4 linked regions of the Drosophila melanogaster genome follow. The gene in region 4 interacts genetically with the main gene of each other region. Each region holds a gene or a part of one and is shown on either strand. Other genes may lie near its edges.

The links.
Region 1: of if (region 4) and RpL19, changing one enhances a phenotype caused by changing the other (phenotypic enhancement), as found in Drosophila melanogaster (one study listed by BioGRID).
Region 2: of if (region 4) and bs, changing one enhances a phenotype caused by changing the other (phenotypic enhancement), as found in Drosophila melanogaster (2 studies listed by BioGRID).
Region 3: of if (region 4) and rhea, changing one suppresses a phenotype caused by changing the other (phenotypic suppression), as found in Drosophila melanogaster (one study listed by BioGRID).

The regions. Positions count from the first base shown.
Region 1 is NT_033778.4:24,966,340-24,973,551, reverse strand, and holds RpL19 (ribosomal protein L19), read left to right. Parts: upstream 1-4,004; 5' UTR 4,005-4,078; coding exon 4,079-4,083; intron 4,084-4,327; coding exon 4,328-4,434; intron 4,435-4,500; coding exon 4,501-5,000; 3' UTR 5,001-5,675; downstream 5,676-7,212. Other genes in the region: CG2736 (uncharacterized protein), read left to right, coding at 1-2; Phk-3 (pherokine 3), read left to right, coding at 2,248-2,613; CG3776 (uncharacterized protein), read right to left, coding at 2,806-2,947, 3,004-3,299, 3,352-3,705; cGlr2 (cGAS-like receptor 2), read left to right, coding at 6,306-6,501, 6,692-7,212.
Region 2 is NT_033778.4:24,338,867-24,347,133, forward strand, and holds the start of bs (blistered), read left to right. Parts: upstream 1-3,994; 5' UTR 3,995-5,223; coding exon 5,224-5,808; intron 5,809-8,267. UniProt on the Drosophila melanogaster protein: Required for the formation of intervein tissue of the wing. Acts in a dosage-dependent manner to suppress wing vein formation and promote development of intervein cells. Might play a role in the proper formation and maintenance of the trachea.
Region 3 is NT_037436.4:8,542,214-8,550,280, reverse strand, and holds the start of rhea (rhea), read right to left. Parts: upstream 5,281-8,067; 5' UTR 5,192-5,280; intron 3,607-5,191; exon of another isoform or gene 3,406-3,606; intron 1-3,405.
Region 4 is NC_004354.4:16,778,099-16,786,174, reverse strand, and holds the start of if (inflated), read left to right. Parts: upstream 1-2,740; 5' UTR 2,741-2,857; intron 2,858-3,629; exon of another isoform or gene 3,630-3,705; intron 3,706-5,100; exon of another isoform or gene 5,101-5,311; intron 5,312-5,978; 5' UTR 5,979-6,118; coding exon 6,119-6,324; intron 6,325-8,076. Other genes in the region: CG9609 (uncharacterized protein), read left to right, coding at 1-696; mRpL22 (mitochondrial ribosomal protein L22), read right to left, coding at 1,212-1,429, 1,544-1,757, 1,831-2,100. UniProt on the Drosophila melanogaster protein: Alpha-PS2/beta-PS is a receptor for Tig, wb and Ten-m. Involved in the function and/or development of the olfactory system.

The sequences.
Region 1 (7,212 bases), on a different chromosome or scaffold from region 4:
AGTGATTTACTTTCTGGACTGGACCCGTGTATATATGTATGCAAGATTTAGATTTAGGGTAGAGGTGTCGCTACTGATGAACTATCAGTAGTCCGCCGTTACGCAATATACGATTTAGTGGAAAATTGAATGTGCCTCATTTCACCTTATCTGTCAGCCAGTCAGACGGCCAGGTCCAAGCGCTCCTCTGCCGCCTCCGCCTTCGTCGCCAACCAGGCAATTTGAGGTCGCGGCTCTGTTTGATTCGCCCCGCCTCTTATGCCGTGCGGCGTGACACTGAAAACTTGGGCACGTACTGAAGATTTATTTTGCGTTTTATACAATCTGTGCATTTACTTTTTATTGTTAGTATTTCTTCAGCCTCTGAGCCGCCGTTGTGGATTTTGTGGTTTGTTTACTTTTGTTTGCCTTACTTACTTCTCCTTCTCCTTCCTGAACCTGAACTTTTGCACATGTCGCATGATCTTCCCTGGTTTCAGTGCTGATGCCCTGTCCGACTTCAAGGTAAGATACCCTTGGCCCCTCGGCAACTTGGGACCTGTTGGACCCGTTAAGCCCTCCGCCGCGCATAGCGTCCGGGAGTTTTTTTCCTTTCCGATCGGACTCTCGCGATTTACATAAATCAATACGAACCCCCAGCGCTCGGGGCTAAGGATGCCCCAATTTAAATGTTAATCACCGCGGACAAGCTAAAAGTTGTTTGTTTAATTGGCACGAGAGTTATGTCACAGGTGAAGAGTCAGCGCTGGTGATTTATTGACCTCGAAGACGAGACGGAGCGGAGCTGATCCACCGAGCCAGCCAATCAGTAGAATCGCCTGCGTCAGAGTCGTAAAATGCTCATAATTATACGAGGGTATGAAGTGTATTTTGGCTTTATGGCCAATTATTGTTTGCCCCACCATACTAGTAATTTCGGGCTGCACCGCGCTCCATTAGCGAGATCAGTTCCAAGTGCGGACGACCGCCAATGGTGGTCGCCTTAAAACCCCCAGCAAGCTGTCCGAATTGTCCACCTGGACAGGGGTAAATCCCAATTACTAAGGCAGACCAGTTGGAATCGGTCGAGCTACGCCAAAACAAAACCCAATAACTCTCGCCCCGACCGATGAGCTTTCGAAATCTGGTTCAGTCTAGACTGGTGCGTGCGATTCATGACGCCAAAGATAATTAAAAGGGAAATGGAAATGCATAAAAGTGATTACAACACAGCGACAACAACTCTAGCACTACCAAATGCGGTCGTTATGTCGGGAAAGAGTTGGACACCCAACTCCAAGCTGATCCAAGCCGATTCAGCAGCTGTGAGTCTCGGAGCCACTAAAACCAACTGGCAAAATCAACATGTAAATTTCAATTTTCACGTACGTCAATGTTTTTCCTATGAATTTCGTACGTGAACGAGTAAACAAACGACCAGGGTCTGAGAGATAAATCTGTGATAAAACTCCCATTCCATTCCACCCTTTGAACCGCTGGCCCGAGCATCGGACCACTTGCCGAAATTCGGCTGAAAAAACCTTAAGTCAGTCATCGAAAATCCGGTTCGGTTTGCCTGCTTTGGGTCTACGCTGGGCCGCGACTTGGCCAAACCCGCCGCCTGCTCCCTGCCTGCTAAAGCTCTGGATGCCAGAGAGCTGACCATTGCGCTCAGTGTACGAGCCGCTAAAGCTCCTGGTATAAAAGCGAGGCCAGCGAGCTAACAGCTCGCAATTTGAGTTGCGCCTTTGATCGTACCACAACTGCACCCGGGCCACCGAAAATCACCGGAAGAGAAGTGAGTAAGCCATTGTTCAAGCCGTGGTTCGTTTGCCCTGGTTAGGCCGAGCACCCGAGGAATTGAGGTGCAGCACCCATCAAGGATTGCGAAAACCAAACAGCTGGCCACGGGCTAGCATGGATTCGGATATTGGACGCAAATAAGTCGAAAGCTGCTAAAACTACGTGGTGTCGGTGAAATTGTGAAATCTTTTCAAAAATATTAAATCCAAACGATTGCCAATTAGTATGCATATGCGATATATATGCCAAGGGCCATAAATAATGCATGAGCTGGTGGGCAGACCACTAACCGCTTTGGATGATTCTTTGACATGCGTCGAAAACACAGAAAAGCCGAGACTGCCTGACGCCTTCTTATTATCCGCTTACCCGGCAACCAAAAATCCCTCATTTTAGGAAATGTGTTTCGTGGCTTACCTTTAATAATTTGAATTTCCCACCTGCCTTTCCAGATAATCCTCCAAGATGAAAGCCTCGCTAGCTCTAGTGTTCTGTGTTTGTGTCGGTCTTGCGGCAGCTGCTCCTGAAAAAACCTACACCAACAAGTACGACAGTGTCAACGTGGATGAAGTTCTGGGCAACAACCGAGTGTTGGGTAATTATCTCAAGTGCCTGATGGACAAGGGCCCATGCACAGCAGAGGGTCGTGAACTTAAGCGCCTTTTACCCGACGCCCTTCATTCCGACTGCTCAAAGTGCACGGAAGTCCAACGCAAAAACTCACAAAAGGTAATCAACTACCTTCGCGCCAACAAAGCCGGCGAATGGAAGCTCCTCCTGAACAAGTACGATCCCCAAGGCATCTACAGAGCAAAGCACGAGGGACACTGAGCGCTTTGCTTGTCCACCAAATGCACTAATTTCACATGAACCTAATTTAAACCAGAGATCCACAGTAAAGATTTTAGTTTTTTATACCTAAATGCGGAAAACGAAACTTTTATTCCAACGAAGGCGGTGGCTTACGCCAATATATGCTATGAGTCGGCGAACAGCGCGGATGATGGTAGCCATGGGCCGATGTTATATGGTCTCGTTAATAAGGTCGATGGCCCTAAACTGGTTGGCCACATTTACGGTCCAGTCCGATTGGTGTCCAGCGGTGAACTCCTTTACAAAACGGTAGTTGCAGATGAAAACCTTATCCTGGTACTCGGGAAGGGTCCTGCAACAAATGGGTATGAGGAGCTCAGCTTTCGGGCAGTGACAGTCCAAACTTACCCCATGTTCCAGGGTATTTCCTCGCCGCGTTCCCGCATCTCGGATAGACCACGCATTACGTGAAACACCATGGTGATCTCTACGAAACGCTTCTGCAGCTTGTCGTTTGCATCGTCAAACATAATACCTACCTGATAGGGAAAGCTGAGGTATATGTCGCTCTCCTTGATTTCTAGCTGCCTCCGTTGCGTCATTGACAGTTTTTGGATTACCGGTCTAAGCTCTGCGATCGCCTCGGGCGAGACAAGATTGTCCAGGGAGTCTAAGTCGCCGCCCATCAGTTTTGAGGATACTACCTATGAGGGAATTAATATCATTACACTTCATGATAGACAAACCATGACGCACCTGCAGCGCTTGCTTGGCGCCGTATATGAAGTCCTTGAGTTGAAACTCGCTGTCGAAGTAGGGTCGAATTATGAACTGTATGGTGATCCAATTTTTTAACGAGTTAAGCGCCGATGGCCACACGATCTCTGGAAAGTCCATTAGGCGAGGCAGGCGGTTAAGGCTCTCTCTGGCATTCTGCTCCTTCTTGTCTTGCTCCTGCGGCAGCGAGGCGAAAGACCGACTGACCGGTTGTGTTGGCTTCGAGATGGACCCAGCTTCCTGTCCCCCGGAGGCTGCCACTGTGGGTCTGGGCTGCAAACGCATCAGGGATATCCGGGCCATGCCCAAGCAGCGTATAAGCGTGTGCTGCATTGCAGAAATTGCACTCTGAACAGCTGCAACTGGGCTAAAAAGTTGTTTTTGTTTTTCTTAGCCAATTTAGTGTGACCGCAAGTAGATAAATAAAATATACCAAGCTTCGTTACTTAATTGCTCTAACTTAATTCGAACAATATAAATATGGCCGGATCTTGCACATCCAAGCTGCTGGAAACCGCACAAAGTAGTTGTTATTAAATATTTTTTTTAAATAAATCTTGCCACTCCGCTTAAACTAGTACATCCCCGAGGCGTTGCCAGACCCCCGAGTACGTTATCGATGTATCGATAGCACCCTTCAGAAAATGGTGCTGACTTCCGGCTGTCAAATTTTTCTTTCTTTCCTAGCCACGACGAGGTCGACAGCATGAGGTAGATTTGAGTTCGCAAATATGAGCGAAAAGTTGCGCTCGCGGGGTCTAAATGTTTGCAAAGTGTGCCGGGCGAGCGCGTGCCGTATGATGCAGCTGCCGGGCGGACAAGTGCCATTCTGTTTCCCGGCAGTTGTGAAATAACCGAACATGCGACGCTCATGCACACACACACACAAGCTGATAGGCGCATCCCAGCACGCTACTTTCGAAATGATGGACTAACAAGTTACCCTCCTTTGCAGTTCTCTAAAGCTCCAGAAGAGGCTCGCAGCCTCCGTGCTGCGATGCGGCAAGAAGAAGGTCTGGTTGGATCCCAATGAAATCAACGAGATCGCTAACACAAACTCGCGTGAGTAGAAATGGTCTAAATGGTCGAATAGACAGCCCAGCTAACTGTGTTGTTAACCCATTCCAGGTCAGAACATTCGCAAGCTTATCAAGGATGGTCTGATCATCAAGAAGCCCGTCGTGGTCCACTCCCGTTACCGTGTGCGCAAAAACACCGAGGCCCGCCGCAAGGGACGTCACTGCGGATTCGGAAAGCGTAAGGGTACTGCGAACGCCCGCATGCCTACCAAGCTGCTGTGGATGCAGCGCCAGCGCGTTCTGCGCCGCCTGTTGAAGAAGTACCGCGACAGCAAGAAGATTGACAGGCACCTGTACCACGACCTGTACATGAAGTGCAAGGGTAACGTATTCAAGAACAAGCGCGTCCTCATGGAGTACATCCACAAGAAGAAGGCTGAGAAGCAGCGCAGCAAGATGCTGGCTGATCAGGCCGAGGCTCGCCGACAGAAGGTGCGTGAGGCCCGCAAGCGCCGCGAGGAGCGTATTGCCACCAAGAAGCAGGAGCTCATCGCCCTGCATGCTAAGGAGGACGAGATCGCTGCCAAGGCCGCCACCGCGGGTCACTAAGCAGTCCGACCTCGCTAGTCGAGGAACTCCATATTGATAGTACTGTTTATCGTCTGAATAAAACACCTTTAGTTTGGCCGAAATGATTTTGTACAAACGTGAAACTCATGCTTATTTTTTTAATGGCTTTCCCTGGGAGCAGTCGTAAGGGAATTTGGTTGAATGTGACTTGTTAATTCTTATTCCCTTATGTTGCATTTCATTGTGAATTCAGATTAAAGACGGTGATTAAATTCAAAATATTCACTTCCCTCGTTTTAATATCCTCAATACCCCACAACTTCAAATGCTTAAAAAACTTTAATATATTGGTTCTTGCGACTAGCTTTTTGTGAGAAGTATTTTGGCATTTAATTCGTTAATTATGCCAGGTAATGGATTCATTTTACAAGCAGCGTCAATTATTACTCAGAAGTTTAATTGTTGTATTATCCTAATATATTTTACTTTAAGGTTACCCATATTCCAAGCTTAACTGAAAATAAGCTGGCCCTAACTATGTAGGATAACAAGACGTCCCCAAAGCTCTAGAATTCTATATGCATTTGTATTCTTGAATTTAAATCCTATGTATAATTTAAATAAAAAGTCAAATAAATGTATAGTAATAAATAACTGATGAAAAAAGTAAAAAAGGTCATGAAAAACCGCTAATCTTTGATGTAAATGCCAAATGTCCCCTCCTTCAATATGTATATGTATGTAGGTAGTGAATAAATAGCGGTAAAAGAGCGATGAACCGTGATTTGTTTTGCCTATAATAATGCGATTAAACAGCGGTGGCTATAGCGGTGTTTTTGTGATGTTTTTCTTAGGGATAATTTCCTGGGACATGCTAATGCTAAAATCATCGTTTTTTATACAAAATGCGATCGGTACTTTTACTGAGCGCTTATTTACTACCGAAAAACTGGGCAATGCATCTTAATGCTGTGTTAAGTCGGAAACTTAAAATAGGCAACCGTATTTAATATACTAGTTTAATTAGTTCGTTTATACCTAAAGTAAAAATTAATTTATTTTTTAGTATTTAATCGATTGTATAAAAGATATTTACTACCGAAAAACTGGGCAATGCATCTTAATGCTGTGTTAAGTCGGAAACTTAAAATAGGCAACCGTATTTAATATACTAGTTTAATTAGTTCGTTTATACCTAAAGTAAAAATTAATTTATTTTTTAGTATTTAATCGATTGTAAAAAAGATTCCAGTGTCTCCAGTGTTCGCTAATCAGCAAACCTTATCTTTAATTGTGATTACCTTCATTGGGATTATTCACTCATCAAATAATATTGTAGAAAAAATGAAGGAGTCTAGAAATCTTGAAAACTTTGTGGAAAAAAAGCTCTATGAATGCAAAAAGAAGTATGTTGACATTCCAAAGGACGAGGGACAACGATATGGTAAGCACTATGAAGCACTGACATCTAAAATCTTTGAAATACTGAGAAAGGAGAATCCAGAGCTGGACATCATTATTGCTGAGTTCAGTTTGGAAGGTAAGTCATTCACGGGGCTCAACTTCACATAACTCCATCCAATTTCCGATATATGTATATTATCGGAACCATAATGATAAAAAAAAAGTCCGGTCGTATTCGTGTATCCGCGCTTCGTACTCGTTTCCATCGCGATCCCTCCGCGCCGCGTTTCTCAGTCATTACTTACCGCGCAGCTTAAATTCCGCAGGCAGTGTCGGGGATATGTTAAAGATCGCGAAGCCCAACGAATTCGATTTGGTATTTAAGTTAAAATTTCCGTACTACAAAAGCATCGCCGTGACGCGAGATCCGAAAATTCCGGGCAACGTACTACTCGATATGACGCGCGTGTTAGAGCTCCTTAAGGATGATCCCCGCGAGGATTTCCAGAGAATTCGGGAACTGATTCAGGGTCGACTCGTGGATGCGCAAAACTTTTTCGTCGTGGACAGGCTTCGTTCTTGGCTTCAGAGCTTGTTTAGCCAGGCACTCAACAGGATATCATATCGCGTGGAGCTGGTTGCCGGCGTAGTGTCCCATCTCAAATATAGAACCTGTGGGCCGGCCCACACTATCTACGTGTACGGTGATTATGAGTACTCTGTCGACTACGTACCTGCAATCTGTTTGGCGGCCGAACAGAACGTCTTGCCCACGAAGCAATTGGAGTGCTTTAAACGCGCCAACACTTCTTACTGGGAGGCGATTCCCAAGCCTCTGAAACCCCTA
Region 2 (8,267 bases), on a different chromosome or scaffold from region 4:
TCGAATCCCGATCCCCCCAATCCCCCTTCGGTTGCTGCGCAGCTTGACAATAAGTGGCTCGCAGTCAGATGGGCAGATCGAATGGTGGCTACCTTTTAGTTCAATGATCTTCGCTAGTTGTTGCAGAATCCCAACTCCAAACTCATCCAGAATGCTGGACGAGTCACTTGAATCACTTGCTAGATATTTTGGTAAAGGCGATTTCCTCTAACTTTTAGTAATAATTGATGTTTCATATTGTAGTGTGGTGCTCCAGTCCAAACTACCCCACATACCCCCTAGCTAGCAGGGAGGAAAAAATAAGTTACCGTTCTACGCGCTGAAATTTGTTGTGCCATCGACGATCCGCAGATCCCAAGCTGCTGTGCTCCACCGTTGGCAGTTGGCAGTTTGCAGTCTGCAGTCTGCAGTCCGCTGCTTTCCGTTCTGATGGCCTCAGCCAGTGGACCGTCTGCGTCGATCCTCCGCCTCCACCTCCATCTCCCGTCTCCCGTCTCCTTGTCCGCCGTTGTTGTCAGTTGGAGACCGAGTACAAGCGACCATAGATCGCTGGCAATCGATCAAGTATTTCGCGTACATTATCCGAGATGCGTGGGATAATTCTGTTCTAATTTGTAGAGGCCCCGAGCTCCAGTGCCTTTGGCCTCTGGACTCTGAGTTCTGGGCTTTGGGCTCGACTTGGCCAAAAGTGCCTCGAGGAGCCCACTTCCATGCGAGGCACGCACCGACCCATCTGCGCCTGCCTTCTGATTTTCATAATTAATATTGGGTGAATTAAAATGCGCGGAAGGCGAGGAAGTTAGAACCGCGTGCTCGGGAGGAGGGGAAGTTAAGGGAAGGGCAGGCGGTTCCGAACTTCCTGCACTTGTCACCGTGAAAAGACGCGGCACCACCTGCATGCAAATGAGCCGGACTACCGGTAATCAGGTGAAACGGTCACGACCTGTTAATCGTTTTATGATTGTAGCGGTGCTTTTGTTTCCTGTGCACAAACGGTACTTGCACTTCGGCCCAAAAGAAAACCAATGCCCAGAACTGAGAACTGAGAACAGAGAACTGAGAAGCGAAATCGTAAGGCCAAAACCCCCAGCTTTTCCTTTTGTTTTCGCCCAGGGAGCCGCAATTTTATTTAAATTGTAACACAAGCGACCAGACAATTGCCCCGAAGTCTCGCAGAGCTCGATCCTGATTTCGATTCCGATCCCGATCCCGATTCTCAACCCAATCCAATCCCTACTCCCTGCTCCTTATGCGTTATTCATGAGGCAAAAACATTGCGATCGCCTGTACCAATTGCCAATTGGTTCGACTTTTGAGCTGGCGTTGGCGGTTTTCTCTGCCGGCTTTGTCAATCTCAGGCTTTTGGCTTAGTGCGCTGGAGCAGGAGCAGGAGTTGCAGTTGGACCTGGCTTGGTTAAGTGGTTCATTGTCACCCCAGCGCCCAATTAGACACCTGAGTTTCTTGGCCACTCGCTTTCCGGCGATCATACACCGCAGTCATGTGCTCATGTGCCACGTTCTTGCATTCAATCAGATATATTCCGATTGGCCGATCTCGGGCCCATCTGTATAAGGAGTGTGTGTGCTCGGTGGTTTGAGTGTGTAAATCAACCAGCTTGCTGCGCAGATAATAGATATTCTATTTTGAATAATACCTGGGGAGTCGCTTGTACTGTTTTCGTTTTTTTTTTGCTATCTTAATTGCATCCAATTCTACTATCACCAGTCGTACCAATGACTTGCCATCCGAATCTCGTGCTTTACTTGAAATCCTAACACAATATTTCGCAGATACTTTCCCGCATGACCATACTGAAAAAGACAAAAAAAAAGGAAATTTACATATTTCGACTATTTAAAACACTTTGGCTTTGGCTTAAGGCAAATGCCCAAGTAGCGCTATAAATAGTAAAAAAGTCTATATATATAAATATACACATATGTGGCTATGGCTATGGCTAGCTGCAAAATCAAAAGTTGTTCGGAATCGTAAATGGAACAAACGCTCCTCTCGAGTTATAAATATATTTGGGAATATACCTATGCCATCCGTATGCCTAGATGATCTGTCCACCGTTTTGAAGGTGAACTCTGCAGGATTACATAATGCGGACTCTGAGCAGCAGCATCAGGAGCAGCCCCCTAATTCCCCTCGTCCCCTCTCAAATAAATGCACGTAAAACGGCAAGCAAATAATTAAGTATTAGAAATGTTCAGCTGGGGAGAATTCCGCGGAAAGTGCGATGGCAAAAACTACAGCATGTTGCAGTTGTTCCCAGCTGGCCAGAAGCCTCCAAGAGAAGCCAAGAGTTCTCCTCCAGACAGGCTGACGATTGCCTAGAAAGACAGCCGCACTGGAGCCAGCGGACTCCTACTGCCGGTGGAGGAGAAAACGGCGGAGAAAGAGGGCCTGGATGGCTGCAGACGCTGAAGAGCCCAGCCTGCAGCCAACTAACCAATTAGTAAGCGCTGCACAGAACGCGTCTACAATTGTGAGAACCTCAGACCAGGCTTGCAGGCCAACAAGTCAACAAGCCAAGAAGCCAACAGCCAGCAGGCCGTGTGAGTATGATGAAATGTCAGCAGGACCAGAAGCTGCATCGAAATGCACTCGGAGAAATACTTAGCAAACAACTAAAACCAAATTACACAATAAAAAAGTGTCACAGAGCTAGAGATGCATATGTCATATGACCCATCTGTAAACCTAATCCATATAAAATACGGAATTATTAGGAATGCGTGGGGATCATCAAACTTCATCTTTATTTATTGTTCTTTCTTTTCGCAGTCTTGGGGAAATGGGAATACAAGTGGAAGGCATCATTCAGATTCAAGTGACCCAAGTGGCATCCGTTTTCCCGTAGTGTCCAGAAGACCTGGTGCCCGCTGCGTGGATCGATCCTTATATGATCCGCTGGCAGCGGCAAACGTTCTATTTTGACAGTCATTATGATTAATTTAAATCATTAGGCAGCCCGGGCAGGTAGACAAACCATCGAGCTCCTATATTCCATCTAATTAAATGCGAGAGGAGCGGAGCTGCAGTTGGCTGTGGTCCTGGTCCTGGTGCTTGATCGGAGTCGACCTCGGAGTCGGAGTCGTGGAGCTGGACACGGGACCTGGACTGGCTTATTCGCGGAAGAGACAAGCTGGCGACAACGACACCGATGGCTGGAAAAGGCAACGATGACCATTTGCAGCTGGGGAATGCATCATCTTCGATCGCGGATCGGGGCGCAGTGAGTGTATCGATTTATCTGCGCTTACTATATACATATCTGCTGCTATCTGCTAGTCGCTGCACGTGGCCATGCCCACTCCGCCCCTTTGCCCATTCCGCGAACCTCTATTTAAGGACATGGCGAAATACTCGTGCTCCTGTGTACAAGTGGGCCCACCACGCAAATCCTCTAGAGCATTCTGACCATATTGGCGGGGCTAAGAAATTCCTGGCATAGTTTAAGTGTATCGCTTTTTGTTGCTGCGCCCGGGCACTCAAGATGCCCGCAAAGCTCAGCCTGCGAAATGTCGCAAAAGAAATTACAAAATCAGCAATAAGAAAATCAGAAAATCACAAAATCAGAAGATCACAAATTAACTAAATTAACAGCGCTGATAAGGCGAAACGCCACGTATGTAATTACCGAACTCAACCACGAGTTTTCAAGGGGAGGAGCCAATGAGCCACCCAGCCATATGAATCCCAAATCCACGATCTATGTGTGCGCATGCGCAGCGAATGGGTATGCATATGGGGGCGTGGCCATCTAATTAATTAAGCCATAAAGCCAGCAAAATGAACGACGGCAGCAGGAAGACGCCGAACGGGGGTGGGGATTGGGTCGGGGAATGGGGGATTGGGGTTTGTTTTTATGTACTCCGTACTCTTCGCGTTCGAAATCGAAGAGAGCGCGGCGCTCTTAGGAAAAGAGGAAACCGGTTCGCCCAAGTTTGGAATATCGAGCGAACATCGTTGGTGGAAATACGCTGAAGTTTATTAGGTATTTGCACGCCATCTGAAGAACAACGAACGCCAGCTATCGATCGCAAGTTTAGCCCGTCGAATCGTTTCGAATTCGTATTTGGAATGAACCACAATAAAATCGCCACAAATAAAGTAAACAGTCCAAACAAGTGCCTAGCGACAAATAAGCAAACCAACTGCAACGCATACGGAACAAACAAAAACACAAATATTTCCCATAACTGCACTAAATCTACGAAGTCGAAACAAAGTTAGGCGTATTTTTTTTACCAGAAACACTTAAACAATTTTTACAAAAAACGGATATTAATGCAATCAGTTCGAGACAAGCAGACAGCAAGCGGAAGACTTAAGGAGATAACAACTTATAGAGGCCATAATCAAAGGAATAAAGCACCATCAGCCAGCGATGAGAAGGAACGTCTTCAATGATAAACCTTCGAAAACTTTTAGAAAATAGCAAACATCCCAATAAACCACAACAATTATAAAACGCGAGAAAGGATTTGGTAAATCATCTAAAACCAGTTCAACAAACAACACATATAGTAAACATTAAATATTAAATCACAAGTTTTAGAAGGCAAACAAAGATAAAAACTCTTAACACCAGTTAAATAAAATATACTAAAAGAACTGCAACCAAAAAATAACATACAATTAAATGAAATTAAAAGCCATAAAGAAACTTAAAGCCATTGGAAACAAGCCATAAAAGCGGTCCAGAACCTAAATATTAAACACAAACCAAAATTCAAATTCCGCGCCAAACGACCACACTGCGCAACACACGAGCGCTGCATCCCTGGACTTCAGCCGCATTCCAACACTGCAGGACTGTCAGCTGTCAGTTTTCCTGTGTGTGTGCGCGCGTAAGTGTGTGCGTGCACTTAAGAAACTTAAATTCGCGTTCTTGGCCAAAAAAAACCCGGGTTTTTAATAAGTTATAGCGTTTTCCTCGACTGAGAACTTGGCCCCCAGGCAGACGGGCACAAAAACCGCCCCAGAAACGCGCCCGCCGCCGCCAAAAAGGCCGAAAACGCCAGCGAAACGCGCGCGTTGAGTGTTTTCTGTGTGGTTTTATTTTTGGAATATAAAGCGATCTGATCTGAAAAGTGTGCCGCGGCCGGATTCTAGATATTCAGATTCCCAGCACCCGAAACCCAAACGCAATAATAGACGCGCGCGGTGCCTTGGATCTCTACGGCTCCACGGTGGAGAACTTTTACCTCAGAATGGATCCGACGCGAGGTGACTCGCGGTACAATCTCAACTACTCGATGAGTAGCATAGGGCTGAGCCTGGCGGATCCGGCGGACATGTACGGCAACCCGGCCCTGGGGGCGGGCCGCCCGCCCTCCGGTGGCCTGCTCCAGAACATGGGCGGCGTTCCGCCGATGCAGCGCCCCAATCCCGCGGCAGGAGCACCCCCTGCCCCGCAGTGCCAAACGCTCCACAGCCCACAGCACGCCTCCCAGCAGCAGCAGCAGCAACAACAGCAGCAGCAGCAACACCAGCAGCAGCAACAACAGCAGCAGCAGCATCCCCAGCAGCAACGCGGCCTTAAGCGCTCCGGCAGCGACTGCTACGAGGATCACCACCGCTCGTCCGGCGGACTCACCCTCCAAGGACTGGACAACGTGGCCAGCGGAGCCGTCGACGACAGCGTAGACAACTACAACCCGCTGCCCAACAAGAAGTCTCCGCCTGCCAACGGCAAAAAGACAAAGGGACGTGTCAAAATCAAAATGGAATACATCGACAATAAGCTGCGTCGCTACACGACCTTCTCCAAGCGCAAGACGGGCATAATGAAGAAGGTAAGATCGCTGGAGCACCCCTACGCCATCCCCATCCCCAACGATATTTTCAACCCAACCCCGAAACCGAAATCGATCCCCATCCCAATCCCCATTCCAGCCACGATTGGCGCTGCAATTGGGATGTTGACATCGGGCCACGTTTCCAGCGCATGTGCAATTAATAAATGCTTCAGGGATTCAGTTGCGACGGAATCCAGCAGTTCCCCCACATCTCTGGCATTGTTCTGCCTCCGGAAAGAGCGAGGATTTATTGTCAATTGGCCATCGGCACAGTGGTCGGGATAGCTGGCGCACAATAGGAGAACCATCTCGGAATATCAAGTACCCAATGGATATATCCAACAGTTAGACCATTTGTGTACATTACTCGTCAGTTCAAATATTCAAATCTTTCTCTTGTGTCCATTACCAATTATTAGTTCCACTTGGAAGTATGTTTATTGGACCAATACAAATTCTGCTTGGAAATTGCTTATAGGCCACCTTATGTTGGGATCCCAAACCTAATGCTAAACAATTTGATTTAAGACTCAAAAACCCGAACCACTGTGCCCGCGAAGTACCTCTGCTCATCTCTAGAACAGTAGCCGCAGATCCTCTGCTTTTGGCCAGATCGCGTCTGTTTGGCCAACTGTTGGCCGCTTTGGCGGCGTTGTGTAAGCGCGGTAGCCCACGATTCCGCGTTGCCTTTGTTTTCGGCTTCATAAAATGTTAATTTGCCGCCGCAATTGCATTCAAAGGAGGCTCCTGCCCACGGAGCACTCCTCCCCCGAAACAATTGATGCGTGCTCCTTGTGGATGGTGGCCCACAAGTCGCTGCAACTGGCAACGTTGCCTTGGCATTTTCAAATGACCAATTTTCACACGCAAACTTACATAATGCCACTGCATTAGCTCCTGCTGCTTTCCATCGATCTGGGGGCCGTATATGAAATTTTTCACATTTCTGAAATAGACTTCCCTGGCCACTAGCTGAACCAAGCCCCGATCAAAATCAGACAAAAAGCATCAACATCGCGGCGCTAAATCACGATCTCAGCACGATCTTTGCCCAAGACACAAAATCTTATGAAATATTTGACCCAAGCAGACCAAAAACAAAGACGTTGGAGCACTTAAATTTAAAAGGGGAGATTTGGGAAAACGTTTAGCTTGTTGTACGCTAGAATGGCAATAAAATGTCAAGTATAAACTAAATGTTTAATAAGTTTAATTTATTTACTGAAGTTTATTTACTTTCATTATTAAGTCGCAAAGTAACTTATGATTCTTGAATTAGAGGAAGTGAGCAACCCAAACCTGTTAAACTGTTCCTCTTTACCCAATCTCAGTTGATCCCGAAATGGTGTTTCCTTATCGGTGAGGGTATCCAAAACATTTGACCCCTGGGACGTGGATTCTCGGGGCCGAGCTTATGACAGGCGCACGCCCGGGACAAAAGGCCGCTTCCATAATATGCGTTCCAAAAAAATATCGTTTTGGTGACTTTGATGCGGTCCCTCATCGATGTCCAGCCGGCGGACAGTTGACAGGCAGACAATGGGATTTTGACTTGGCGCTACCAGCGGTAGCAGCAAAAAGCGCAGAGGCAATCTGCAATCCGCCATCCCAATCCCAATTCGAATCCCTAGCAGCCAACCAACAAATTGCGGCCAATGAACTTGGCCCAGAGAGTTGTCGCGCCAACCTGCTGGCATGCTTTCCACTGGCCAATTTTGGTCATTTCGATCTGGCCGAGAGCCGGGGCTCTTTTGGCGTGGGTGGCGGTGGTCAAAAGGCCAAAAAAGGCGACGAGAGTGAAAAGTGAGCTAATGTCCAGAAGTGATCTCATTTGCTGGCCAGCCTAATTGCGTGGGCCGCATCATCGATGGATTCGCAGCTTTCGCTTCTGGCTTCTGCATAATGCACGGCCATCGAACAAGAAGCCATCGACAAGTTCCCAACAATTGGCCATGGCTAAAAGGGCAGCCGGGCGCAAAATGCCGCCAAAAGGTGTTAAATTGAAATCACGAGGCCTGGGATTGGGATTGGGGATTGGGGATTGGGCTTGGGAATTGTTTGTTTCGGGGCCAGCTTGCAGCACGGAAGCTTAGGCCGCAGCCTCGTCGGCAGATTGTGCCCAGATAAGACCCAGAAAGCCGGGCCAAGAGGCTCCACGTCGGCTCGCCTTTTGGCCACATGCAACAGGCTGTGGCCTCTGCCACATACGGGGAAAACAGGCAACAATCGGCTTCTAACAAATGACTCTCCATCTGGACGGAGCGGTCGCGGTCTCTGGGGCTGCCTTCTTGTCCTGTCAACGCGCTCGTACCCCAATCCTCGCCCGAATCCGAGTCGTGTCCTTTTGTCTTTGTTCGAAATTCAAATTGACATGAATTGTTGGCCTGCTCGCGGTGCCCAAGTAGCCTTCCTTCCTAGCCGCACAATCGACACCTACTCAGAACCAGCATCTGAAT
Region 3 (8,067 bases), on a different chromosome or scaffold from region 4:
GTGCCCAAATGCGTGTTCACTCTCAGGCTCTCCGGCAAAAAAAAAAAAGCGCCAATGAATTACTGACGTAATCGGCCAGGGATTTACGACACCCACCGTGAGATATAGGAGGCGGCAACCCGATCGGTGGAGCCCAACCCAATCCAATCCCCACTGCCATCGGCGATAAACGAAACAAATAAAATGATACGTACACATCTCTCGCCAAGTTCGGTAGTCCAGTGGTCGATGGGGAAAAAAAATAAAATTTTTGCATAAATCTTCGCATGCGTTTGTTTGCATACAAACATGGTGACAATAAACGTTATGCCGCCGATGGCCAGACAACAAATGCGAATGAATACTTGCCGTTTATTTTTAGAAGCGAATGCATATTCTTTATCAGCATTAATAGTAAACAAGGGGCTCCATCTCTACTCCTTCCTGCCAGCGATTCTTAATGACTCAACGATGAGTGTGCGTGCGAAAACGGAATGCGAATCGAGTGAAATCGAGTTGAGTCGAGATGGAAATGTTCGAGATTCCGATTCAGATCGGTCGTTTCTGGTCGGTGCTTCCACCTCCGCCACTCGAGTTCCGCGTTATTAAGAAACATTCCAAAACAATAAACTATTCCACAATACGCTACGGCCAATCGAACTCAATATGGAATCATCTACGAGTTCTGAGTTCTGCGGCCCATTTTGTTTATTTAGCATTTCGGTTGTTTGATTCAGGTCCGGTGAAAAAGCGAAACATGTGTGCGGCAGCATTAAGCCCACATAAACTCACATCAGCCCCAAGTAGCTGTATCTGTTGTACAGAGAGAACAATATTTAAGATTTTCTCAAAAACGTTTATCAAGTTGCATAGTTGTAGGGAAAACATGACCGCTAAGCAGAAAAGTATGTTCTTCATATCTTAATAGATATACGACTTTGGTACAGAACCTAAGTTACAACATATCTGAGTGTTATCTTAGGACTTCTACACAAGATCAATAATATTGTAGATGGTTTGTTTGCCCAGTGTAGCTATATATAGCCAATGTATATTCAGCATGTATGCATTCATGTATCTCAAGTGCAATACAAAACCATTGAAAATGCTGAGGCGTTAAGAAAATAGAGCACACACACCAGTTGTTATTTTTATTTTTTAATTGTTATTACGCTGGTCGTTTTGCTTTTGTTCTTCTGGTTGCCGCCAGTAGTTTTTTTTTCGATATTGTAACGAGTTGAACGGGTGGCTTAATTTATTTTAATTGAGCTTGAAAAGTAAATCGAACAAATGGGCGAAAAATCGAAATATATAACAGAGGTAACATGGGTGAATAAATATTGAACGGTTCATAAGCGATTTTTACACTTTTAACTTTCACGCCCTATTTTAGTGTCATTTCACATTACCAAGCAATCAAAAAGTTCCCATCTCACGCTTGCCCAAAAAAACCAATTCAATTAGTCCCGAAATTATGAAGTAATCCTCGCTGCGTAAACATCCCCGGGACATCAATCTCGTATTCGAAAGTTGTATGGCCAGCGATCAGTGGAAGACCTTTGCACTCGTCTCGCCCCAAAGCAAAGCAAAGAATTAATGAATACAGCTCAATTAATAAAACGGCGAACGAAAAGTATGCAAAACCATGAAAAAAAAAACTATCCAACAGATACAAGTGGAAAATGCAGTCACTTGTCTGGCAATCGAAACGTGCCCCAAAATGGGCAACACAAGCTGCTGCCCACCAGTGTTTCCACCAGTGACCGAGTTACAAATCAGTTTGCTCAATGAATTGCCGCTCCAGCCGAGCCGAATGTGCACGCGGATCACTTAACAAATTCCGGGTAATACTTTTTGGATAATTGCTATAAATAGCTTATAAATATATAGTAAATCGAGGTCTAAGCAACATTCCAAACATGTGGATTATTATCATTGGATTGTACGGATACAAATATACAAACAATGAAGTATAAAGACATTACTGATATCAGCTTGCCTAGAAATAGGTACATATATCATGAGTTGAGTTTTGAGGAGGAAATCGAATTGCAGATAAGATGGTGAAATTGGAACACTCTCATACTTATTTTCCTTCGAGTGTTTTAACATGTAGTAAAGATCTTATCAGGAGAAAATGAAAGTGTTGAAATATTTATTATGAACGACAATGGGTCAGTAGAAAACAGAATTCCAGAAGAACAAAGTAACATGCATTCTCCAAATAAGAAACTCATATTTTAATGTTTTGATAATGATATTTAGATCTTTGAGCATTAATATTTGTGAAGTGTACTAATATCTTGGCGGATGCTGAGCGTCCCCACGTCTACGTCCGAAATATTTGGTAGATGTGGAGCCGATGCACTGCCCACACAGTGGAGCATGGAGTGAAAATGAGCTCCGATCTCGATTTCTTTATGTTTCCGAAGCGTGTTTATGTGGCGGGCATTCCAAAACCGAAGCCCACTGCTAATAAGGTCGAAACGCTCGAAAAAGTGAGAGAGACTGAAAATAACAACAGCTTTAAACGAGCGCATTGACATTTCGAGATAATGGATAAATAATATACAAAATACGCCCACAAAATGGAGCGACGGCGAAATTTGCCAAACAATCGGACAAAAAATGTGTAGAAAACAGGACAAAAGCCAGAGAAATTATGACAAAACATCGAAAGACGCGAGATATTTAAATCGGTGAAGAGAAGAGCGAGGAAAGAGCGTAACAAAAAAAAACAATAAATCTACGTACAGATACCAAACAAATCTTAGCGTACGTTGTATCTTAAAGATAAATCGCATTTGTGGAGGAGGGGAGTGGGAGGCCAGCCGCCAGCTGCTAGGCAAGCAAGAAATATAGAATGAAATATCTATATGTTTGTGTACACAGAGAATAATATAGTATTTTTTTGATAAACAGTAATATAAATAATGCAGTACTTCTTGATTACATAATCAAATACTATACATTGTTGTTGAATGGAACCCTTTGCTCAGGTTTATATCCATATACAAATACAAAAAAAAGCATCATCGTGAAAAGCGAATTATGCTAATCTGACTAGTCCTAAGATTTCGCTAGCACGTCATAAGATATAGCCTAGTGATCTATTATAATCCAAATTTTTTCTCTGTGGACCAGCGTAGTCAGGGGCAGACATCAAACGGCAGACGTCGACGCTGGCGCCGGCAGCGCGATGAGGTAATTTTCAGCTTGTTTTCTAAAACGCTCGACATCCGAAATGGGGAAAAGGGTTTTCCGATGGGTTTTTGGCGCGCATCGCGCAGGCGCAACGTGCATTTGGCGTTTGAACTTAGTTACACAATGGAACTGCCTTTTTGTGGCACATATTCCACTCGGAATGGATAAAAATAACACCATATGTCACACACTTATGACCGCGCACTCTCGTCATGTATATACCTTCTTTAATTCCCACAATTGGGCTGGAAACTCTTTTGATATTTGAACTTGAACGATATGCACGATATGCGATATTCATATATGTACGAATCGCCTATACATATATATGGGTAGATATATGTATATATATATATATTTCAATAGCGATATCGGGCGCGGCACAATCGAACGAATTGGCACCGACGACGGACGAAACTCGAATGAGCGGGCCATAGAAGCGAGTGGTTCGCTCGGTTCCATGGGCAGTGTGAGCAGCATGAGCAACAGATGGGAGAGCCGCGAAGAGAGCCACCTGCTGCTAGGCTTCTCTCCTCTCTGATTCTTCCGATTCTCCTGATCGCCGTCTGCAAATGTAAACAAAACAAAAGGTGCCAGCCAGAGGGAGGGCGGTGAAATGAAGGGGCAGCGGAGGAGAAGGTAGTGGCCACAAGGTGATGGACCCGTGCCAGTGGTGACTAATCTTTTGTTGCCCAACTTATGGCTCTTTCTTTCTTCTCAAAAGTGAGCAGAGAGGAAGCGAGAAATTGGAAGAGGAAGTGCGCTTAGTCACATGGGGTTTTCTAAGAAATGGACATTACTCCTGCTTTTCAAGGGCTAAGCTAGTCAAGCGATTGGAGCGTTGTAAGTATTAGTATTTTGAAATGTTTTGGTAATGACGTTTTGTTTTGATGATGTTATATGACCCAAACATTTCTTATCTATAATATCAATGACTCTTTGACGGACTAGATTATTCCCCAAAAGGAATGCTTCTAAACAATCAACAATATTAACGTAATCTTTATGGGTTCAAATCTCTATAGATACTATAATCTAAACAGGACCAGTCTCTTTTTAGGAAAGTATCTGCATTTAAAACTCTTACACAAACAGAATACATGAGAAATTTCAATCTCAGTTGAAATAATTGAATACAACAGTTTCCAAAAACGTGCATAAACAAAGGAGGCAAAATAATAGCCTGTTGACTTCAATTAGGTCCAATTATTGACGCAATTGAGGGCCTGATCCCGGGAAGAGTGAATCTCTATGCCACTGACAGCGGGATGTAGGCACGAGTCTTGTGGGTCCTCGTCTCGGATCTTTGAGGGTTGCAGTTGCACAGCTAACTCCACAATTAACTTGAGAATTGAAGGCAATTGCCAACTCCCGCGAATCCGGCGCTTCTTCTTCTTCTTCTTCAGCAACCGGGGGTTATCTTATCGCGTATGGAATGTACCCCATATACATATACACCATGCTATTCTGCACGCTCATCCAGCTGCTCAGATAAAGCCGTCAAACCAAACCAACTGCTGTGCTGATAATGCGAGGCAGTCGCAGTTGGACTCTCGTTAATTGAATTATATTCGCAGCTTTGGCTAAAAAAAAAATGTTGCACTTTAATTAGCATAAAACGTAGACGATGCTTACAAGCAAACAAACGAACAAACATACAAATGCGGGCGTTCCCTTTTTTTGCCCCCTTTTGTTGTTACACTGGAAACTTGGTTAAAAGGGCGGAATTCGCGTGACCGACAAAAACAAATGTGCGGGACATGTGGGAGAGACCAAAATCCGGACAGTCGGCGCCAACAACTGGGGGTAGGGATAACGATGATGACTCCACCCCGGAGGAGCACCCACTAGGCGGCAACAACAAAATGTGCGAACGAATCGAAATGAGTTCTTGTTGGCCAGGCCGCAGCTGAATCTCCACTGGCTTTGTTTGACGCGTTTTCATGCCGCGGGAAAGGGGCTTTAAACTGATTTGTGCACTTGGGGTTTTAAACATTGGTTAACTTACAGAAACACACGGCGAAAAGGGCTTAAAGAGAGCTAAAATCGAGTAAATAAAACTAACACTTTACAAAATATTCCGTAGTTAAGACAGTGTGACCGTGCGTCAAGCAGCTATCGATAAGTCATTGCGGCTATCGGAACCAATTAGCGTTTGGGTCACATAATTACAAAATAAATAAAAAATATATAAATTTACAAGTTCTAATCATAGTTTGCCTATACTTCTATAATATTTGAAATTACTACGGCAAGCAAAAAGTAGTCTGCACACAGAGCTGTTATGCCAATGGCAGACTGTTAAGTGCAGGGTCACCCCAAATGTAAAGGCATGAGCGCCAAATTTAAAATAAAACCCCCAACTAATGCAGTCTAACTAAAACAAGGCTTAAAGATTAAGCGATTTGTAGTCGAATCCTATAAAAACAACATATCCACATGATTAATGAAGGTTACAAGCCCCACCAAAGCGCACCCCCACACAAACTTGATAAATTTGTCTGGCTTTCCTGAATTTTCTCCGAGACGATCATCGTTTCCGTTTTGATTTCGGCGATTGGAGGGCAACCAAGTGTGCAACTTACAACCCTCAGAAAATAGACGAGCAATCTAAGGGCCGAAAAACAAAAACTAGCCAAAATCATAAAAATAAGCAAGCGAATTCATGACTTCGCCAAAGTCAACGGACCGCACATAGCGCGCGTCTTTGGGGGCCCTTTCACTGGGGTTGCTTTCCCTATAAGGCAGCGAAATAAAAATAAATTTAATGTTCCTGTTTTTTTCCCTTCTCCTTTCTCGACTTGTCAAGGATATCATATGCGCGAATACATGGGTATATGTGTACGCGTAATTTATGCTGCAAAACATCTCGAGCATAAACAGGAAACAAGCGTCCACGGTCCTTCTTTCGCAACACTCTTAAAAAATGAGAAGTAATTAAAGACAAGTTGCAAAATTATCAAAGGGGGGGATAAACATTCCTTTTGCTACTATCAAACTTGAATTTAATTATTGGAAATTTCAAGAGAAACATTTTAAAGCGAACTTTCAGAAAACCTTCATACATAAAACACTATATTCTTCATATAAAAATTTCTCTCTGTGCACAATGCCCGCCCCTGCGCGCTTGAGAAATTTCTTGAAACGAAGTCAAGTTCGTGGCTTGGGCGCAAATTCAATTAATTTCAATCGAACGCCTGTCGTTCTGGGCATCCGGCATTGGGCATTGGGCATTGAGCATTGATGTCCCGCGATTCGAGGCCTGCCAAACCGATACGCAGATAGAAGATGCAGGATGTGCAGATATGGACTCACCCCTCGGGCCGATAAATCTCGGAACTGGCACACTCGCTTTACACACACGCCCGTTATGACTGCTGGCCAAGGAGGAGCAAGCGAAATGGATGAGCAGAACGCATCGACATGTGTCCTGGTGCTCCTGCTGCGTCATTGCTTTAGTTCCGGTTGAGTTTGTGCCAGCGCTCGCCAAGATTTATGTCACTTTGTTGGCCCAACAAAGAGGCCAGGGAGTTTGGTTTTCGGTAATGGCAAATAAAAACCCGATTCGCAAATCCTTTCCTCGAGTGACCCACTTGGGATTTGGGACTTGGGACTGACCAGCAGCGAGGAGCAACGCTAATTGAGCGATCTTCCGGCTGGCTAATGGGTTAAACCGGCCAAGCCGAATGCCCATATATCATGTGCTTGGGCCGTGATAATTTCGGCATTTTATCAACCAAAATTTAGAGGGTTCTTGACTCTGCCGGAGATTTATGGCCATCTAATTGAGTTTGTAGTTTTCCGAATGCATTTCTGGTTTCTAGTTGCGGATGAATCTGAGCTCTTTGGAGACGAATAAATTGGTTGAAATATAATAAGTTTTTTTCATATTTTAAGTACAACAAAAACTAGAAAAACTTGAAAAACGTAGAAATTTATGATGACAAGAAGTTTGAGTGTTTTCAAAAGAACTAATTGCTTGAAATTTGTAATTGCTTCTCTGTTTTTAGAAACTAGTACCAGACACTTACAAAATGTTTAGAAATTATTGCTAAACAAAAAACGGAAATAAATTCATATCCATTTCTTAATACCCATTAATTTAGAAATAAATGTATTATTTAGTGTAGATTCCGCTTACAATTGTTGGGAAATTCGTTTCGAAACCTTTAAATTCGATTTGCTTCACAATTATAAAGTGAACCGTCCTTTCTCCCCAATTTGTTTAGCATTCTGGAAAGGCGTAAACTCGTTTTCATATTGCCCGACAAATTCCCCACAAATTCGAAGCACTCGAAGGACATTTGCATGCGGGCAGCTATGAAAAACTTATATTGAGAACAATAAAAATTTATGAAAAGCCATTAGGGCGAGGCTGGAAAAACAAGCAAACGACTACAAATTGACGGCAGCCGTACGACCCAAACCCCTTTTGGATGAATTCGAGATCGGGATTGAAGCTGAATGGAAGGGGAGTTTTTGGCCACAAATTATTTTTATAGCTGAGAACGATCCCAGGCACGAGTATGGCGAGTTATGCGCCGGAGAATCCTATAAGCAATCCGAGACTAAGCTCGTGGAAGTGCCCGGATGGACGTCTCGGTCGTAAAAAGATGGAACAAGCCCAAAGGAGTGCACAGGAAGAAATCATTGAGACTTTAGAAAGAGTTTAGTATAAGAACTTATGGTAGTTATGTTAAAACTGATGCAAGCATCTTTCACTGATCTATGAAATGTAATCTGTTTGAATCTTAGATACTTTAAGACTTTGGAAGACCTTGGCAATCCATTATAGCTATTTGTGTTTCTTTTAGAGAATTCATTTCTCTGAGTGCAGTCAAATGTGAAACTGGAGTGTTGTGCCGTGTCATTGTCATTGCCTTT
Region 4 (8,076 bases):
CAGTGGCAGTGCCAGAGTCACGAGCCCAGCTGCAAGCTGTACGAGTGTCCCGGCTGCCCGCTGCAGTTCGACAAATGGACGTTGTATACGAAGCATTGTCGCGACTCGTTGCACGGCAAGAATCGCCATAAGTGCGACCGCTGCGATAGTGCCTTCGACAAGCCGAGCGAACTGAAGCGTCACCTCGAGGTGAAGCACAAGGAGGCGGCGCAGACGGATGAGTGCGCCACCTCCTTCACCTGCAACGAGGAGGGATGCGGCAAGAGTTACTCGTACCTCAGGAATCTACGCCAGCACATGCTCACCGCCCACTCGGGCAGGCGTTTCGAGTGCCAGGCCTTGGACTGCGGCCGCTGTTTCAGCAGTGCGCAGAATCTGGCGAGACATCTGCTCAGGGATCACAAAGATGGTGCGACGAAAAAGGAATTGAAAGCCAAGAAGAAGGACAAGAGTAAGACTGGAGAAGGGGGCAAAACTAAGTCCACATCCCGCAAGCGACGACGCGATGCTGGACGCAGCAAACATTCGAGGCTATCCAAACTGGCCTGCCTGCAATTGGACAAGGAAGATGATGAGGCGGTGCGCGAGCGACAGCCTTTGGTCCTCGAAAAGATCACCCAGTCGCTGAAGGATGACCCCGTCGAGGAGCTGCTGGCACAGACCCTGCAGGATGAAGAGGAAAAGGAGCAGGAGTAGAGCAAAAGGCCATTCAAAGGGACGGGAGTGAGAAGGTCTGGTCAAGAGGCTAACAATTGAATGACTACTTTAATTTAAACCACAACTTCTAAAAGAGAAACAACTAATTTATCAGTAAATACTTAGGATTTGCGTTCAGAAACATCCGAAATTGCATTAATTTGCATAAATTAGTAAGCTATTATTAGTAGTATTCGCCTGGAGCGAATTAGTTTATTTACTTTAAGCTTACAGTTGCAAACATTCCCTGACTTCAACTAGAGTTCCGAAACTCTCGGGCATCCAGAGAGAAAACCAATAATATCCATTGTGTATATACGCGCAAAACTAAATAAAATAAACTCCTCTAAGTAAAAATAAGAACAATATGAACCTCTGACATAGTTCTTTTGTCTGTTTCTATTTTATTAAACAATCTTCTAAAACCAAAAAAAATGCTTAATGCGCGTGGACGCGATGGCGATGGAGGACTGCAGGAGTGCGGATCGATTGCATACGAGTGCCAATTCAGGTGGCTACAGCGAGTTGATGATCTTCCGGCTTCGCATCTGCTCCATCCAGCTCTCGTACTGCTGCTCCGGCGTCTGCGGCTCCTGGTAGTAGTGCTGCGGCGGCTCGCCCTCCTCCAGGCGCACGAAGTAGTGGCAGTGCTTGTACTCCACTTTGCCGAAGCGACCGCGAGCATGCCGCCTCACGCCCTTGAAGACGCGTCCCTTGCCCACGAAGGATTCGGCTGGTAGGTAAGAACAGACAAAGATTCATCAATATAATGGTTAGTGATGAAGAAACTAATGATAATCCATCATTCATAGTGGATACATAGATTCCTTGTGCCCCTGCGGCTCACCTATCCACAGATTGCTCTTGTACTCCACGTTATGCCGCTCCACGGCTATTTGCTGGGCCTCCAGTATGGTCTCCTTCACATCGGTGGCCCCCTTTTTGAGCACAAAGTTCAGCTGCTTCAGCGCCTCGTCGACGGACATTCCGCGAACAAAGGCAGCGATGTACCACATCTTGTCCGGACTGTATTTGATGTTGCTGCGCATGTGGCAGACATACTGTGCAATGCAAGTGGATTAGAGGATTGCAGCTGGAGGGGTAACAGCAGTGCGTTCGAAATATGTATCTTACAGCATTTCTGGGCTCCTCGTCCGTTTCCTGCGGCGGATGCACGGTCTTGTTGTACTCCAGCCATTTGCGGGGTCCGTAGTTGTACTTGTTCCACTTGGCGCACAGCATTCCGGCGGAAGCGGCCGTGTGCAGGGATTTCGACTGGAGGGCAGGTGGTGAAACTGGTGATATGGCTGGTGATATTGAGCTGCTATCCGCCGATCGGAGGAGCGCTGCTCCCTGTGGCGCCTGCAGGCGCAGCTGGGACATTTGCCGGATCACCTTGTGCATCTTAGCTTGCTTGAGTTATCACAGCAAATCCAGGCAATTCAATCCGGAAGGGAAAACGCAGACTTTCCGTAAAAAAAATAATCGCGTAATCTGCCAGTGTGACCAATGGCAGCAGGTATGCCGTGGACCTAAAACGTACCGCACAAGCGGCTGATCTGCGAGCGGTATGGCAGCGTTTGATTAGGATATGTAAACATCTGGCAGCGCTATCGATATTGCTTGAAAATATATTTATTTATTAGATTTAAAAAAAAACTTGTAAAAGCAAGTTGGTACGACATAAAATTATTAACTTAAATAAGAGCATATCAGCAATTCACATTTAGAAGCCATTAAAATAATGCATTGAAACGGAAACATTTATCTCCACACAAATTAGCAATTAATACACATTTTCATAAAAATATGAAACCTAACAATTAAAGTACCCATTTGGAATTGACCATCTTTAAAGTATATTAAAATTGAAAGACATAAATATTCCTTATGCACTATGTAACTATTCTAGTTCAATATTATACACTTAAGTTGATCGTTCTCAACAGCGCGTCGCGCTCACTTTTGAATCGCCCAACGATCTGGCATCCCTGCGTGAAATTTGAAATTGTATCTGAGGAATTGCTAGCCATCTGAGTGCTGCATTCGGTGGCGTGAAGCGAAAGTTGCCTGGTGTAAAGTGCGGAGCGCTCGCGTTCGAAACGGAAATTCAACGGGCGCCAGTTTTGATTCAAATTCGCGTATGCAAATGCAATCGATGGTAATTGAACGGCGAAACATTTATATTTGCGTGTTATCTGATACATATATCCAGCCATCGAAAATGTTTACCGGAGTTTCGAGGGCTCATTGTTTGTTTTCATTAATTTGCATTGCCAGTTTGCTCTGCCTCGGTTAGCCGGCGAATTTGCTCGTATAGTCGAATTGCACTACATTCCGAGATCTCGTGATTGCGAATCTAAACCATCTGGATAAATGGGAAAACCCATTTTCACTGCAGCGTTCTCATTTTCGAGGCAGAATTAATTTGCACCAACGCACATGCGAAAATGTTGCATATCGTGCAATTAAAACTTATAGATTTCAAAGCTCATTTAGTTAAAACTTTGAAAAAAGTGTATTTACCTTTTTCGAATTTTAAAAAATATATACATTTTTTTAATTTCCGAATGGATATAAGCTTGTGTATATGAACATAAAAATCATAAATTTATATGTGATTCCATTTTCGAAATAAACGTTCTTCCATATGTACATATGGCCCAACAAAATGACACATCAAATGGTCGAAACTTTTGCTAACGGAAATTACAGACTTCCCACACGAAACTCACCTTTGAAATTTTTTTCGAGTGGGATGCTCGCTACATACATGTGTAGATAATGAAAAAATAAAACTTTTGCTATCGTTTTGGTTGTTTGAGAGCTTTGCGTTTGTTCCGAGATCGCTCTCCCGAGTCTAAAAACTAGAGACTACATTGGTTGGGTATTGAGTAGGCGATCTGGCACGAGCAGTTCACCCATGTATCTCTGGCGGTGCTAAGATGTATCTTACAGATACTGTGCGCCATTAGTCGTCGTTTAAATCTTGCTGCGTTCGCTGCCGAGGTAGAGCAAACACCAAATGTCAAATAGCAAATCAAAATATAAATAATACAAACAATACCAATTGAAAGTGAACTTTACTTATTAACAGCACAACACGCGACGCGCCAACAAATTGCTTGAAACATTTTTTTCCAGTGTTGCAGCACCAGTGAAAAGTGCACCGACCAAATAAATTCCCAAAATATACGCATATTAAACAAAATCTGACAAAAAAACACAAACACAAAAGCCAAAATCAATAAACTAATGTCGCAGCTGTGTTTGCACCTCCGACATTTTGTGCAGTGTAGAATTCGATCTGTATATGCACGTCTATATATACATGTGCATATATACCTAGATATAGGCGGACTCTGCTGGGCGTAGCACACAGCTTCCAACTTTTTAGATTTATTTTTAGACAATGATCGTTTTTTCCACTATTTTGATGTGTTTTTTTTTCGTATTCATATCTTAACCATCTGGGCAAGATTGTATGGCAATTCCAGTAGTGACTGTTGCCAAATATATTCAATTGATGTGCAAAAAAAAGAAGAGAAGTGTTCAAAAAGGGTCTCAAACCTTTTACTTCAAAACTGAAGGTTATTTCGTTAATTAGTAGTTACAAGTTCAAATGATGATCAAATAAATGGGAAACGAAGAAATATTTTTAGAAACTTTCGCCAGCTTTTGCATTTAAATGCAAATTGCACGCTTAGGAAGTTATTTATGCAAATTTAGCAACTTTCAGTTAACAATTGTGTTCGCCTGGCAACGCATTTCAATTTTTAGCCTGCAATTTGTGGGCCACGAAATTAACTGTCTTATTTATATTGACACATTCGCCAGTCATTTTGAATGCCAGCCGCATGATCAATTTGTTGAATGTTAAATGGTGTACACCATATGGCGCGTTCTACAGCGAATTTTTAGGTTGTTTTTTTTTCCTCTCTCTCGCTTAATTATAATTCATTTTCTTGTCTATGAATGGCAGCCGCCCATCAATGAACTCGAATCGCCCACACTCGGCGGAAAAACTGGGCATAAAAAGTGGAAAATGTGTCAAATGTCACCTGCACAAAACCGCCTACAACTTGTGGGATTCTTTTCCGCCACAGAAACCTACGTACACTGCAAAAAATATCCAGCTCAAATACTTACTTAAGGTCTTGATTTCTTCAAGTACTTGCAACTGAAATAATATTTTGAATCGTTCGATACCAATTGCATTTTCAACTTTTCCTTGAAAGTTATCTTCAATTTAAACTAAAGTTGTGTGGGAAGGGCTGGCTGGCTGGCTTTCAATCTGGCTAAAAGTCTAATGGCTTTTTGGCCGTTATTTTGTTATTTTGGCCAACCTGTTTGACGGCCCATTACGTCACCATCACCATCATCGCGATGCTGAGCGTAGAACGCGCCAAAATCTAAGCATGCAGCAAAAAGAAAAAAATCCAAAAGCAAACATGAAACCGTCAAAAATGTCTAAAAACAACAAATCAGATTTTAGAATTAGACAACAATATATGAACGACCCGACTGATACCCTAGCATTTTGCTGCAGTGAAAAGGAGATGATTGAAATCATTTAAACAAAAAAAAAATAAAATAAAATAAATAATAAAAAGAAGTGAGAACCTAAAGTGATTTGTTAAAAAATTAACAAGAAACCGTTTTAATGAAAACAAAAGCTACTAAATATAAAAATATAATATAAACAACCTTACATGCAAAGAAATATAATTAAAACCTAATAATATAATAATAATCGATAAAAATAAGTTCAAATTATCGGATGACATGCATTTTATTGATTTTTTGGCATTGACAGTTTAATAGTAACGAATAATTTGAAAAGAAACTGAACCGTGTAATAAAGATACTCGTAATTGGCCCGACATCCGACTTCAGACATTAGATATCCGACCAGCCCTAACCACCCCGCCCACTCCGCGATTCCCAAGGCCAACAGATCTTGATTATGATGTTAAGCGAGAGAGAGAGAGAGAGCGGGCGAGTGGGTGCGAATGAGAGAGGAAGATCGCAGACGTTGAGATAGAGATATGTGGAGATACTAAAAAACAGAGACACTCAGCATTTGCCGAGTTGAAGAATATAGTTTTTGTTTTTGGCTTTCGTGTTTTATGCTCTTTTTTTTTTTTTTTGGTTTTCGGTTTTCGTTTTTGGAATCTCAACTCATGTTGGCCAAGGTTGAGTTTATATAATAAATAAAGCCGCGCGTGTGTGTGCGTCTCTTTTGACCATATGTTATAATAATTCTCGATTCCGATCGCCAGCTGTGAAGATGCAAGCGTAAAGTGCTAAGTTCTTGGATGCAAGCCCAACGAAATCGATATACAAATTCGAGAGAAAGTAGAAATACAGCAAAAAGTAAAGTAATCAGCTCAGCGAATAAAGAAGTTAGAAAGTCGACAAAATGAGTGGAGATTCCATCCACCGAAGAAGAATGGCTCTTCACTGCCCCATAACGAGCCTGATTCTGCTCCTGATCGCCATGTCCGCCCATGGTTACAACATCGACCTGCCCAGCTACGTCCGTTTCCGGCAGTCCAGCAACTCGATGTTCGGATTCAGCATTGCGATGCACAAGGGTCGCAGTGGATTCTACGGCAATCAGAATAAGTAAGTTTAACTAATTGTTAGCCAAGCATAGATCTAGATAAATATATTTTCATATAACTAAGTTGAGAAGTTAGCGTTTCATTTCGATTCCAAGGCAACAAGCTGAATTGAAATAAAATTGTAAATAATTGGAAAATTTTCAGAATTTTCAGCCTACTTGGATTACTTATATTCATTACAACTTCCGAATAGGGTCATTTATTTTGCTTTATCTTCGAGCGACCCTCTTGACATTTCTTTTCAATAAATTATCTTCGTTGGAAGAAATGTGCTTTAAAATGAAACTCATTAAAGATAAGTAAATCATATGGGATTAAAGCACGCTTTCCAGTTAATGCAGTCTGTATAGTCGTTTTATCTGAATTGCTGAATTTCTGAATTCACGCCGCTATCGGTTACTCTTTCCATTTCACTTATTTGTACTACGATCTAAAAGATGCTGGTGTTCATCCATCATATAATATCATGTAAAAATACCAGATAAGACCAACTATGATATGAATATAACATGTGATATATAGTATACAATATATATTATTTATTAGGGTCATCTTTTTTCCTCAATTAAGTAGAGCTCTTGTTTTGATAAAGTTAAGTGTGCCCAAAAAGAAGAATTCCGCCGATATGAAAGAAAAGGGAAAAATCAGTGCATCGGAAGTACTTCGTTTTCTTGCTGGCGATAAAAGAATTCATTCAATTCACGCAAGTTTCCGGGATTTCACAGTTCAATTCCTTCTTTTTCGAAAACTTTCCAGCACGGTAGTGTCCTTTTCACATGTCAGTAAGAAGCCCCAAAACTGAATGCTGTTCATATTCATATTCATATGATTCTAGCGACTATTAACGTTATCAGTCGCGTAGAAAACTAAGAGATACTTTGGTCATGACAGACCGCTTCTTGAGTCTTTTTTTTTCGCAGCCTATGCGTCCATTGGTGTAGATAATCCAGTGACATGTTAATCTTCAAGTCGAGATTCCCGGCTATCTGCACTAGGCTCCCAGCACGCAGGCATGCCGCCTGCCTCCAATCTTGAGGAGCGTGAAAATATGCATCTAGAATGCTAAACGCCCATTAGTTTCAATCGCAATGAGATAGCGTCGCCCATTCGGGTAAAGATTCATTGATAAATTTACGAGCGTGTCGCATCGGACGGCACTGGTCGGTCGGTCGGTCGGTCATTTAAATCTATCTGGGACACTTCGCCCCAACCGCCGGACTTTCGAGCGGAAAGTTTATTGGGGTCTTTTCCAGGGCCCCTTTCTGACCCCTGACAAATGGCGAAAAACATATTTTCATTTCATTTCCCGCCCATGCGATCCACCCAGTACTTTCACGCTATTCATGTGAGCCGTTCGATCGTTCGGAGCGATAGCCTTTCTGAACCCGCAAAGTTCAGCTTGATGGACCGTGTTAATCGCGCAGTTTCAGGCCTGCACTGCACGAAAATCCCAGTGAGTCGTCAAATAGTTGCTTTGTTCTACTAGAAAATCATAGTATAAATGATTAAAATCAATGTAGATTTTATTCAATCGTTAAGGTGTTATTCAATTGTTAACTTTGCACCACAGTGCAATAATTTTGTACATTTTTATTGCAAATATTCTATAATTACTGTGTACTGTGTATTACATTTAGGCGGTAGTCTGCTTGGACTTTTCGCACGTTAGCTGGATGGTTTAGCCGGAGTTGGGGGTCTAGTGCTAGGTCCACTATGAGCAAAGTTCGAGAGGACTGAAGAACCAAAGATCCAT